Linked DNA regions of Oryctolagus cuniculus. The protein of the gene in region 2 interacts with the protein of the main gene of each other region in a pairwise test. Links are inferred from orthologs where the notes say so. Each region holds a gene or a part of one and is shown on either strand. Other genes may lie near its edges.

Region 1 (3,782 bases), on a different chromosome or scaffold from region 2:
TCATGGTGGCCTCTGCAGAGGGGAAACCATGGAGGGTATCCAGGGGAATCTTGAAAGCCTCACAGAGAGATGGACTGTCAGTAGAGAGAGGGGCTCTGGAGGTCTCACTCCTGGGAGAAGGACTTGGGGGACTGGTAGATGATGCAGCTGTGATAGTAGAGACTTCAGCTGGACTGGATAAAGCTGCATCCAATGTCCTTGAAGGAGTCACAGATGTATCACCCGGGACCACCTCAGTCCCCTGGCTGGATGCTGTCTCCTTACTCAGTTCAGATTCTTCTTGCTGGCTCTCTTGAGCTGTTTCAGTGTCTTGAGCCGTTTCATTGTCAGGTGATTCCACTTTAGGAAAGCAGTCTGGTAGAGAAACAGGCTGGTGGGAGCATTCTATTGGCTCCAGTAAAGGGGTCAGAACTATGGGGGACAGTTCCACAGCCCTGGGCTCCATCTGAGTCCCAGGAACCTGAGTCATGGGATAAGAGCCATCTGGAAAGAAGTCAAAGGGAGAAGAGATCTCAGAGGGTACCAGCACCAGTGTGGGAGGCCCATGGTGCTCTTCCTCCTCTTCTGATCTCTCTTCTCCCACTGCTCCCTGCAAGCTCCCATCCCAATTTCCTGGCTCCTGCTCATCTGACAATGCCTCCTCCTCCTCCTGCCCCTCCACTGACATCACTTTTCCCATGAGACCCTCACCTTCTTGCTGTCTAGTTATTTCCTCTGATCTGCCCACCAAGCTTTGACACTCCATGTCCTGAGAGCTGACCCTCCTCTTCTCTGGCCCGCTCAATTCCCTCTTTGCTTGCTCTGCCTGTTCTGGACCTTTCTGATGCTCAGCATTCTTTTCCCTATGCTCTTCATCCTGCTCACCACAATTCAGACCTTCCAGTTCCTCAACCAGCCTCTCTGTTTCTCCTTGTCTTCCCAGTATCCCATCTTCCTGGACCTGTTCCTTTTTTTGCCTTTCTTCTTCCTCATTACCAGTCACCTGCTCTACCATTTGTTCTTGCTCTTCCCAAAGTCCATCAGAAGAAACATTCTGCAGAGTTTCTGTCCCCTGAGACTCCACTGTCTGTTGTCCCAAATCCTCCAGCCCCTGAGCTCCCTGGGGATGCAATGGCTCTTCTTGCCCTCGACTTTCCTGAACCTCCTCCAACTGCAGCTTCTCCCCCTGCGGGATAATCCTGCTTTCAGAACCTTCAGCCTGGTTGGTCTCTGTGGTGGGCTCTTTGCACAGAGGCCAAAACATTGTTTGAGAACTACCAGGAGAGGTCTGCCCCTTCTCTTCTGCTTGTTCAAATTCCAATGTCAAAGAAGTCAGTTCTGGTTGAAATTCCTTCTCCACTCTGCTGCCCAAATCACTGGATATTGGGACCATGCCTGGGCATTCACTCTGTATAGGATGGTACTGGAGTTCTGATGGAGCTGGGATCCTTGCTTGTTCATCTGCCAGGCTCTGGGCCATTGGCTCTTGCAGCTCTGGAGTGTTGCTGACCTCAGCCACAAAGGTTTCCTGATCGCTGTCCACCTCCACGGAACTTTCCTTGGGGAAAGAAGGCACGGTCTCGGCTGCATAGTCACTCACATCCCTTAACTCGCTTGGCTGGGTCGCTGAGAGTCTCTGCCCCTCGTCCCAGTTATTGCATAGGTCCTGGCCTTCTTGAGCTTCTGGTCCCAAGGCAGGGATCTGGCTGCTTCGCATGAGAGCTTCAGGGGTAACGCTGAATTCCTCTTTGGCAGGGATGGGGGTGGAGGTTCCATACTGAGGCTCCTCAGCATCCATCAGGGCTGAATGCTAAGGAAGAATAAAGACAACGGTTTGTGACACCTTGTCTGCTTTCACCTCTCAGAGGGAGGGACCATAAAGAAGAGTGACACATTTCCTAGGTTCCATTCATTGTTATTCTTTGAGACAAGTGGTACCCAGCACAATAAGCTATAGCCCCTATAAAACTTTCCATTTCTTATTCATTTAATAAACATTTAACTGCTGACCCTTTTAAGTATACAGTAGTAAATGGGACAATGATCTTGTTTTCATGGAGTTTACAGCCTTATGGGTGATTCAGGGGAATTACGAGGTGTCAAATTTGGGCATAAGACCATTTGCAAGACTGCTAAATGCTCTGAGTGGTCATTTTCCTCTAGACTATTTTTAAAGATTTATTTATTTATTTGAAAGCCAGAGTTACAGAGAGGCAGAGGCAGAGAGAGAGAGAGCGAGCGAGTGAGGTCTTCCATCCACTGGTTCGCTCCCCAGATGGCCACAACATCCAGAGCTGAGCAGATCCGAAGCCAGCAGTCAGGAGCCTTTTCTGGGTCTCCCAAGAGGGTGCAGGGGCCCAAGCACTTGGGCCATCTCCCACTGCTTTCCCAGGCCATAGCAGAGAGCTGGATTGGAAGTGGAGCAGCCAGGACTTGAACTGGCACCCATATGAGATACCTGCACGTAGGCGGCAGCCCCTCCTCTAGACTATTAATAGCATATGTCAAATTCAGTCTCTCTGTGTCTATCCTTTGGACACCCAAAGTGACTCAGCCTCTTGTTACTCCAGACACTGTGTATGACACACCATATATCTAACAGCCCAGAAAAACAGTATCAGAAGAGGAATCTTCCTCCCAAGCTATTCACATCAGATTTAAATAGGTCAGGTTACCACAGCCAATGTGCAAAGTACTATAGTTTCTTTACACCAGGTTTAGAATGTCTAGGGGAGCACTGTCATGCAGGAACAATTTTATTTTCAATTACAGAGATAATTGTTGCAAAGTGAAATGATATCCAGACTCACTAGATTGAGACTCTGATAGACACAACTGTTATCAACATCAGTGAGGTCCAGAACACTTATTTTCATTATTTTATTCTCCTTCTCTCTCCAAGACCCATGTGAACTCTGTATTATCGCTAAAAATTTGGACCTCCCTGCCTTTCTTCTCACTGCTAGCAAAACATCTCATTTAATTTGCAAAGAATTCAGAATCCAATGAAGTGGATCTGCTTCAATGTCTTGCAATCCAAAGTGAGAAGTGTTCCTGCTCTTTTTATATCCCTCCTCAGAAAATGCAAGAGGTGTCCTTCCTCTTTGTCCCACCTCTTCAGGGACCTCTTACTATGGGTTATCTCTCTCTGTCTCTCAGGCCTTCAACTTTTCTGCTAGAACCACTCCACTAGTATTCAAGCATTCCCACGTCTCTCTCATCTTTCAAACACCTAGAAGGATTTGCCCCTATCTGCTGTCTTCACATCCCAGACACCTGCCTCCAACCCAGCTTCCAGAAGCGCCATTCTGCCAACGTCCCCAACCATCTCCATATTATTGATTCCACAGAAGGCTCTTTGGACCTTTACTCTGGATGATTCTTGTCAGAATTTAACACTATTGATGTGAGAAATATTGATTCTTATTATGCGTGGTACTGTATTTTCCTGGTTTTCCCCTTAAGTTTTCCCTAATCCTCTCACTAGGTTAAATTGTACTTCTCTTTGTTGTACTTATCAACCATATTTCACTTTATTTCTCCTTTGTAGCACATATACAATAATAATTATATAATTATGTGTGCATTTTGATTTACCTTTTATCTCAAACCAAGATGAGGTAAATTTCATGAGATCAAAACTTTATCCTGTTCAAATGCTTACACCTAGCCCAAAGCTGGCAAATATAAGATCCTAACAAATATTTTTCACATAAAGAATAGAATTCTTTTCTCCTGCCTGGCCCAAATTCACCACATCCAATCATTCACCAGGTCCTACTGACCTCACTTCCTGAACATCC
Region 2 (3,782 bases):
TACCGAGGTTAAACCACAGGACTGCTTAGGCCAACCAGTCCTGCTCAAGTGCTTCTTGTTTTATAGCTGTGGTTATGCACAGGTATATGCTAAAATTACGGGATATCGTAATGAAGAGGATTCTTTAAGTGACAAGCTTCTCCTTACATAATGAGCAACTGTAGTCAGTGAGGCCCCTAGAAGAATTATGCCTGTGATAAGAACCACTTATCAGTGCAAGGCAGGCCCGGACAGTATCATCCTTTTATCCTTCCATGAGACAATGCTGCTGACTGATTCAAGTTCTATCACTCAGAGCTTGATGTACATGGTTTCCTTCCACCACACCAATGCAGAGCTTGGCAAGCCCTTGCTATGCCTGCCGAGCTGACAAGGAGACAGGGTCCTGGGTTCACCTTGGCAAAGGAGAGGGGAGACTATTTCTAGGGGGAACTGCCTGAGCATGGCTCTCCACACCTTACCTGCAAGAGCTCCCTGGTGGGCTGCTGCTGCTTCTCCTCCAGCTGGGCAATCAGGCTGCTGAGGTGGGAGATGTTGCAGGAGAACTGGGTGATGGCCCCGTTGATGCTGTTGTAGATGGCCAGGTCGAGCTCCTCAAGGCGGGCCAGGAGGCGGTACTCATGCTCCTTCAGAGAGTGATAGAGCTGCTCAAACTCCCAGACAATTTTCTCCCTCTCCATCTGGGTCAGGCTCTGTGCAGATGACAGAGAAGGGCAGTAAGGAGAGGAGAAGCTCCCTTCTAGATCCCTTCACATTCCTTCCACGACCACTCACTCCGAAAACACATCATTTTATCCTGGGATACTCAAACAACACTGTTCACTCACTCACTATTTCTGTCTTACTCACTAGACATATGCTGCCCTGGAACTGAGTTACCCCAGTGATAATTAAGGCATAGTCTCTGCTGCTAAGGAACTCAGTCCAGCAAGTCAGGTTCGTATGGTGCATTCACGGATGGGGAGTTAAAGAAAAGGTGACAGCCTTTCTGTCCCACATCTTAGCAAAGCTGTGATGGTTGTCGTTTCTCACTGAACTTCACCAGGATGCCAAGAAAGATGTTGTAAAGCTGGATAAAAGGGGACGGTGCTGTGACATAGTGGGTAAAGCCTCCGTCTGCAGTGCTGGCATCCCATATGGGCGCTGGTTCTAGTCCCAGCTGTTCCACTTCCGATCCAGCTCTCTGCTATGGCCTGGGAAAGCAGTGAAAGATGGCCCAAGTCCTTGGGCCCCTGCACCCACGTGGGAGACCCAAAGATGCTCTTGGCTCTTAGCTTTGGATTGGCACAGCTCCAGCCACTGCAGCCATCTGGGGAGTGAACCAGTAGGTGTAAGACCTCTCTCTCCCTCCCTGTAACTCTGCCTTCAAATAAATAACTCCTTAAAAAAAAAAAAGAAGTTGGATAAGAAAAGTAAAGACTCTTGGGGCCGGTGTTGTGGTATTGCAGGCTAAGCAGCTGCCTGCAGTGCTGGCATCCCATGTGGGTGCTGGTTAGTCCTGGCTGCTCTACTTCCGATCCAGCTCCCTACTAATGTTTCTTGGAATGCCACAAAGATGGCCCATTTGGGGAGTGAACCAGCAGATGGAAGATATCTCTCTCTCTCTTTAAGATTTATTTATTAGTTTGAGAGGCAGAGTTACAGATAGAGAAACAAATCTTTTAATCACCGGTTAACTCCCCAAATGGCTGCAACAGCCGGAGCTGGGTTGGAGCCAGGAGCGTCTTCTAGGTTCCCTACCATTGCTTTCCTAGGTTGTTAACAGAGAGCTGGATTGGAAGTGGAGCAGCAGGGACTCAAACCAGCATTGGCACTGCAGCCAGAGGATGAACCTGCTAAGCCACAGTGCTTTGTAACTCTGCCTTTCAAGTAAATAATATAAAACATTAAAAAAAAAAAAAAAAAAAAAAAAAGGTAAAGACCCCATGAACAAATCTAGGCACAAGACCAAGCAGAAGAAATGGTACAAAGGCACAGTTCAGGGCACTTTTAATAACCTAGACTTCTTTGACAAAGCTACTTATGATACATTCTGTTACAGAAGTTACTGTCAGTTTACAGACCCAGCTGTGGTCTCTGAGAGACCAGATTCTCAGCTCCCTCACCAAGGCAGCTCTTCAAGAGCTCCTCAGCAGAAGGTTAATACAACTGGTTTCAATGCACAGAGCTCAGGGCAGCACTGCACCCACGTGGGAGACCTGAAGAAGCTTCTGGCTCCTGGCTTTGGTCTGGCCCAGCCCTGGCTGTTGCAGCCATTTGAGGAGTGAGCCAGCAGATGAAAAATCTTGATCTCTCTGCCTCTCCCTTTCTCTCTCTTCATAACTGTGCCTTTCAAATTAGTAATAATAAATCTTAAAAAAAAAAAAAAAAGGGCATAGAGCTCAAGGAATACCAGGGGACTATTCCTAGCTGCTGAAGATGCATAAACAAGCAACATGTGGGGGGAAAAACCAAACTTTGGAAATTGTACATTTGGCAAAACAAAGCTTCATTTAAAAAAAAAAAAAAAGAAAGGTAACAGCATGTGGTAGGGGAAGGTAGTACTGTCTTAACAGAAGCAATGTATAAACCAGGCATTACAGGAAGAACAGGAGTTCACTATACAGGCAACAAGTGGAAGACCTTCCAGGCAGAATAAATGGCACAGCAAAAGTGGAGACAAGCAGGCAAATGGTTTTGTCTGGCTGCAGCAGAGACCAGAAAAGGTAAAAAGACCAGGTCACACCTTTCCTGGAGGGTAAGGGGTAAGAACTTTACCCCAACTGAGCAACTGAGAGAAAGACCATGGCCCAGGGAAAGGACAGGCCAGACACAGGCATGCCCTGTGCAGGATGGCCTGCACCAAGGAAGCACAATTTCACTGACCAGTCTCCTTGGGCCCAGATTCCAAACCTCTCTGCTCAGGGCTTTCACCAGCCACCCTGCCTCCCTGGCTTTGGGGGAAGGGCAGTTTCCTCTTGCTGCTGACTTATCCGACACAGTTTGTCTTCCCTTCCTTCTCTACCCCCATGCCCTATAGTCAGCACTGCTAAAATTGTGTTCTACCCTCCCTCCCTCCCTCCCTCCCTCTCTCTCTCTCTTCCTCCTTCCTTCCCTCTCTCCCTGCCTCCCTCCCTCCCTCTCTCTCCCCAACTGCCTTTCAAGTAAATAAAAAAAATCTTTTAAAAAAAAATTCTGTTCTAAACAATGGGTCAGCAAACGGCTCTAAAAGAATCCAACAACCTTTTATCAAAACACAGCCCTGCCTATTTACATATTGGCTGTGGCTGCTTTTGAGCCACAACATTACTGATTAGTTGGGACTGGACCCATAGAGCCCCAAAGCTACAGATATGTACAATCTGGCCCTTTGTGGGGAGTTTGCCAACACGGGTTCTAAATTCAAACCCTTCTGAGACACACCCCATGCTGACCGTCCCTCTAGCCCCCTTCCAGGCACTCACTATACAACTTGGTGACACACACCCCTTCATTTATAAATCCTTTTCCCAAGCTCATGCCTCTTCGCCACTGGCTAAGTCTTTTCAAAGACACACCATAAAATACAATCTCAGAAACAGAAAAATTAAACCTGAAAGAAAACTTAAAGGTCAAGTACCAGTGTTTCTCAAGGGGCTTGCCACTGGCATGCTGGCTGGGACAATGTTGTTTAGCATGGGGCTGTTTTTCACATAACAGGACATGTAGCACCCCCATTCTACCCTCCCCAGTCACCTTACCCACTCTGCCATAATGCCAGCCCCCCAACCTACCCATTTCCCAGGTGAAGTGTGATAATCAAA
Region 3 (3,782 bases), on a different chromosome or scaffold from region 2:
TCCCTGGGAGTCTCCGGTCCCCTGGACAGAGGCGACATCCCGCCCGGGAACAGAGCCCCAGGGGGCTGCGGCCGAAGCCGCGCCCAGCGGTGGTTCTTCCCACGAGGGCCTCTGGGTCCTGCTCCCGCTGCCCGGGCGCCTGTGTCCCACGGTCCCACCGACCCGCGCTGTCTCCTCTGCTCTTCACCTCCTCCCCAGAGCCCGACGCTCCTGGGACTTGGTGGGCGCCCAGTGGACACTCCCTGGCTGGGCAAGGGAGCGTGGGGACGTCACCCATCACCATGGGGCACGCTGCCGTGTGGTGACTGCACGGAGCCGCGGACAGGTGTGGCGGCTCGGACGGAACCCAAGTGGGAACCCAAGCCCACCTGGCAGCTTTCTCGTGACCGCCTGGAGCCCCAGAGGGGGCGGTCGCCCGCACCAGGAACTGGGCAGCCCCAGGCCTCAGTCTGGGGCTGGTCTGTACACCCTCCTCACACCTACTGTGCCGGGACCACATGGCCAGGGAGAGGGGACCCCATCGTGCCGCTGCCTCGCGGGGAAAGGGAAGGAGCTTGGCTGCCCCCCACCCCCCCAGCAGGCCCTGGTGGGGGGCGGCCCGAGCCGTACCTGCAGGGGCGTGAAGGCCACACTGGAGGCTGTGCCTGAGGTGCGGTCACGGATGGTGGACTTCCCGCCGTACACCACGCTCTGCTTCTGCAGGGTCCGCTGTGGGTGGGAGGGCACGGGATGAAGGGGCAGCCCCGCCCCCGTCCCTCACCCCGCCCCCACCTGGGCCCCGCCCATACCTGCAGCGTCTTGGAGATCCTGGCTTTGGTAGCCTCGTTCACCTGCGTCTGCCGCACGCGCCCACTGCCCGACTTGCCCAGGTGGCCCAGGCTGAAGCCCAGGTCCTCCTGGTAGGCATCCTCCTCGATCTGGGGGGGGGGGTGCCCGCAGTCAGGTGGGGGCCCTCAGCACACAGCGCCCTCTCTCATGCTTGGGGGGAGAGGGTGCGAGGGCAGCACAGGTCTCAGCACTGGGGGCACTGAGCCCAGCCGCAGGACCAGAGGATGCTCAGAGCACAGGGGGCGGGTGTGGCTGAGCCTGGGAGGCCGGTAGGCCTGGGTCCTGGGAGCCTGGTGAGGGTGGGCAGCGGAAGGGGAGAGCCAGAGGGGCCCTGGGTGGGGGGGGCGGGGACGGGGCAGGACTGGGGGCCCTGGGTGAGGGGCGGGGCCCACCTCCCCGAAGCTCATGCGGTTGGCCTGCTTCCGGATCTCCGTGAGCCCCAGCCGCTCCTTCATCTTGCGGTACCTGGGAAGGCGGCGGGTCACGCGCGGGCAGAGAGCTCGGGCCTCTTCCTCTCGGAGGCCCCCGCCCGCGCCCCCCGGGTCTCTCACCTGCGGCCGCCTCGCTTCTTCCGCTGCCCATCGAGGGGCGCAGGCAGCGGCTTCACCTGCTTCACGGGGGGCGGCTCCTGCCACTTGTCGAACTTGCGCTCTATCTCGTCTTTCAGCTCGTAGCCCACCTGGGGGGGGACAGGGAGGCGGGGGCGGCTGCACCACGGGCCATCAGCCCGCAGCACCCGACGGCCTTGGCGGCTCTTGGGTGCCCTTTGAAGCTGCTGCTTGACCAAGCTCTCAGCCCCGGACAGTGGGTGGGCCGGTCGTCCAGCTCACACCCGCGATGCCTGCTGCTCTCCCGGCACCGCCCTCAGGTCCCGCAGGCCCCTGTTCAGCACCTCCAAGGTGCCAGGTCCTCCCGAGGGCACAGAAGGTGCCCCATCACCGCCTCACCCCCCGGGGGCTGGGGGGGCTCCAGCCTCAGGCCGCCTGCACTGACCGTCCCACCTGGAACTTCCCCCAGGGGCCCTGGGACTTGACGCTGACTGCACTCGGGTGCAGGGCAGAACTTCCTGGCCAGAGAAGCCCTCCCGCCGACCCCTCACACCCCAGATGCTGTTCTTCTTCTTGGCATTTGTGGGGCAAGTGTCACCTGGCTGCTGCCCCAGCCCCTACTGGAGTGGGAGCCCCAGAGGCGGGGCTTTGTGTGCGTGTGTGCAGGGGTGGCGGCTGGGCACCTGAACACTGCCGGGCTGGGAGCCGGCACACAGCAATGCCCAGGACGGCAGGTGCGGCTGCCGAGAGCACAGAGCCAGCAGGGCCCAGGTCCTGGCCCGGAACGGCTGACATCACAAGGCAAGAGGGGTGTGGCTGGGGTTGTGGGGTGGGGAGGGCGCCCTGGGGTCACGAGGTCCCTGACGGAGGGGGGGTCTGCAGGGGCTCCTGGCTGGCTCTGGAGACAGACAGGAGCTCCGAGCCAGGGAAGGGGTGTGTGTGCCCCGTCAGGGCAGTGCTCCTGGGCTGGGTCCCCAGAGCGAGCCTCACCTTCCCCTCCGTGCTCTCGTGGAAACTGTCCACGCGGGCTGCCAGCGTGCACTTGGCGGCCACCAGCCGGGCTGCTTTCCGCCGCAGATCCTAGAGCAACGGCAGGGGGACGCGGAGTCTGTGAGCCGGACAGATGGACAGAGACAGGGCTGCTCCTCCCCGAGGGGGCTTCACTCACACACACACACACACACACACGAGGACCTCTCTCTCTCTCTCTAACACACACACACACACACACACACACACGGCCCCTGCTCCCAACAGCCCCCTCCCATCGTGGGAAGGAGGCCAGGGCCGGAGGAGCCGTGTGCTGGGGTCGCTGTGGCTGAGGGCGGAGCCCAGAGGAGGACGCGGAGGTTCCCGGGGGAGCACCTGCAGCCTGTTCTCAACCCTGCTGTGCAGGTTCGCCCTGCACACGGACCCTCATCAGATGCTCGAGCACCAGGCTGCTGCAGTCAGCGCCCCCACTTGGCAGACGTGGAACCTGCAGCCGCACTGTGGCGTAGTGGGCTAAGGCTCTGGCTGCCGGTGGCGCCGGCATCCCGTATGGGTCTGGTTCGTGTCCCAGCTGCTCCGCTTCCGATCCAGCTCTCTGCTATGGCCTAGGAAAGCGGTGGAAGATGGCCCAAGTCCTTGGGCCTCTGCACCCACGTGGGAGACCCGGAAGAAGCTCCTGGCTCCCAGCTCTGGATCGGCACAGCTCTGGCCGTGGCAGCCATTTGGGGAGTGAACCAGTGGCTGAGAGATCTCTCTGACTGTAACTCTGCCTCTCAAGTAAATAAATAAAACCTTCTAAAAAACATGTGGACACTGAGGTTCCCGGCCACCAAGCGGGCCATGCTGTGGTGTCTTCGGCTTGTGCAGGAACTGAGCTGGAACAGCACGGGCGGGAGGGGCCCTCAGCCACAGGGCAGCAGCGTGGCCTGCGGAGGGCCTGGCTCTGGGCAGCAGTGCGCAGGTGGTGGGGGGCAGCGCCCGGGCTCCAGGGCCTGGGATTCTGGGCGGCCTGCTGGCACCCTGGGATCCGTTCCCGTCTGCTGCCTGCGGACTGGAGGACAGTGATGGGCGGGGCGAGGCACGCGGCCAGGAAACGCCGTCCACACGAGGGACGGGAGCCAGCACCGGGGACAGCCAGGCCATCTGTCCCGCAGCGGCTCTGGCTCCCATCAGTCCTCGCGCCCCAGGATGAGCCCGAGGGAGCCAGGGGCCCAGGACACTGAAGGCAGTGAAGGTGGGAATCCGGGAGACTCAGACCCTGGACAAGGTGCTGAGGCTCTGTGCCTCAGTTTCCCCATCTCTACAACGGGCGGTGAAAGCAGAGATGCCACGTGCAGGAAAACACCACCAGCCACGAGGGCTGTGGGCAGGCAGTGAGCCCCGAGCGTCTCCCTCCCCCCTGTCCCCAGGAAAACA

Evidence for each region. The genes of interacting proteins can lie anywhere in the genome.
Region 1: the proteins of TRIM27 (region 2) and ARHGEF5 interact in binary tests that used the Homo sapiens proteins (3 or more experiments, as listed by UniProt). The two-hybrid records come from large-scale screens. The link is inferred for Oryctolagus cuniculus from reciprocal best matches to the Homo sapiens genes TRIM27 and ARHGEF5.
Region 3: the proteins of TRIM27 (region 2) and PRPF31 interact in binary tests that used the Homo sapiens proteins (3 or more experiments, as listed by UniProt). The two-hybrid records come from large-scale screens. The link is inferred for Oryctolagus cuniculus from reciprocal best matches to the Homo sapiens genes TRIM27 and PRPF31.

Annotation. Positions count from the first base shown.
Region 1 is NC_091434.1:179,402,279-179,406,060, forward strand, and holds part of ARHGEF5 (rho guanine nucleotide exchange factor 5), read right to left. Parts: intron 1,790-3,782; 5' UTR 1,778-1,789; coding exon 1-1,777. UniProt on the Homo sapiens protein: Guanine nucleotide exchange factor which activates Rho GTPases. Strongly activates RHOA. Also strongly activates RHOB, weakly activates RHOC and RHOG and shows no effect on RHOD, RHOV, RHOQ or RAC1.
Region 2 is NC_091436.1:154,131,872-154,135,653, forward strand, and holds part of TRIM27 (zinc finger protein RFP), read right to left. Parts: intron 693-3,782; coding exon 462-692; intron 1-461. UniProt on the Homo sapiens protein: E3 ubiquitin-protein ligase that mediates ubiquitination of various substrates and thereby plays a role in diffent processes including proliferation, innate immunity, apoptosis, immune response or autophagy.
Region 3 is NC_091449.1:4,557,671-4,561,452, forward strand, and holds part of PRPF31 (U4/U6 small nuclear ribonucleoprotein Prp31), read right to left. Parts: intron 2,457-3,782; coding exon 2,367-2,456; intron 1,508-2,366; coding exon 1,380-1,507; intron 1,294-1,379; coding exon 1,221-1,293; intron 918-1,220; coding exon 789-917; intron 709-788; coding exon 610-708; intron 1-609. UniProt on the Homo sapiens protein: Involved in pre-mRNA splicing as component of the spliceosome. Required for the assembly of the U4/U5/U6 tri-snRNP complex, one of the building blocks of the spliceosome.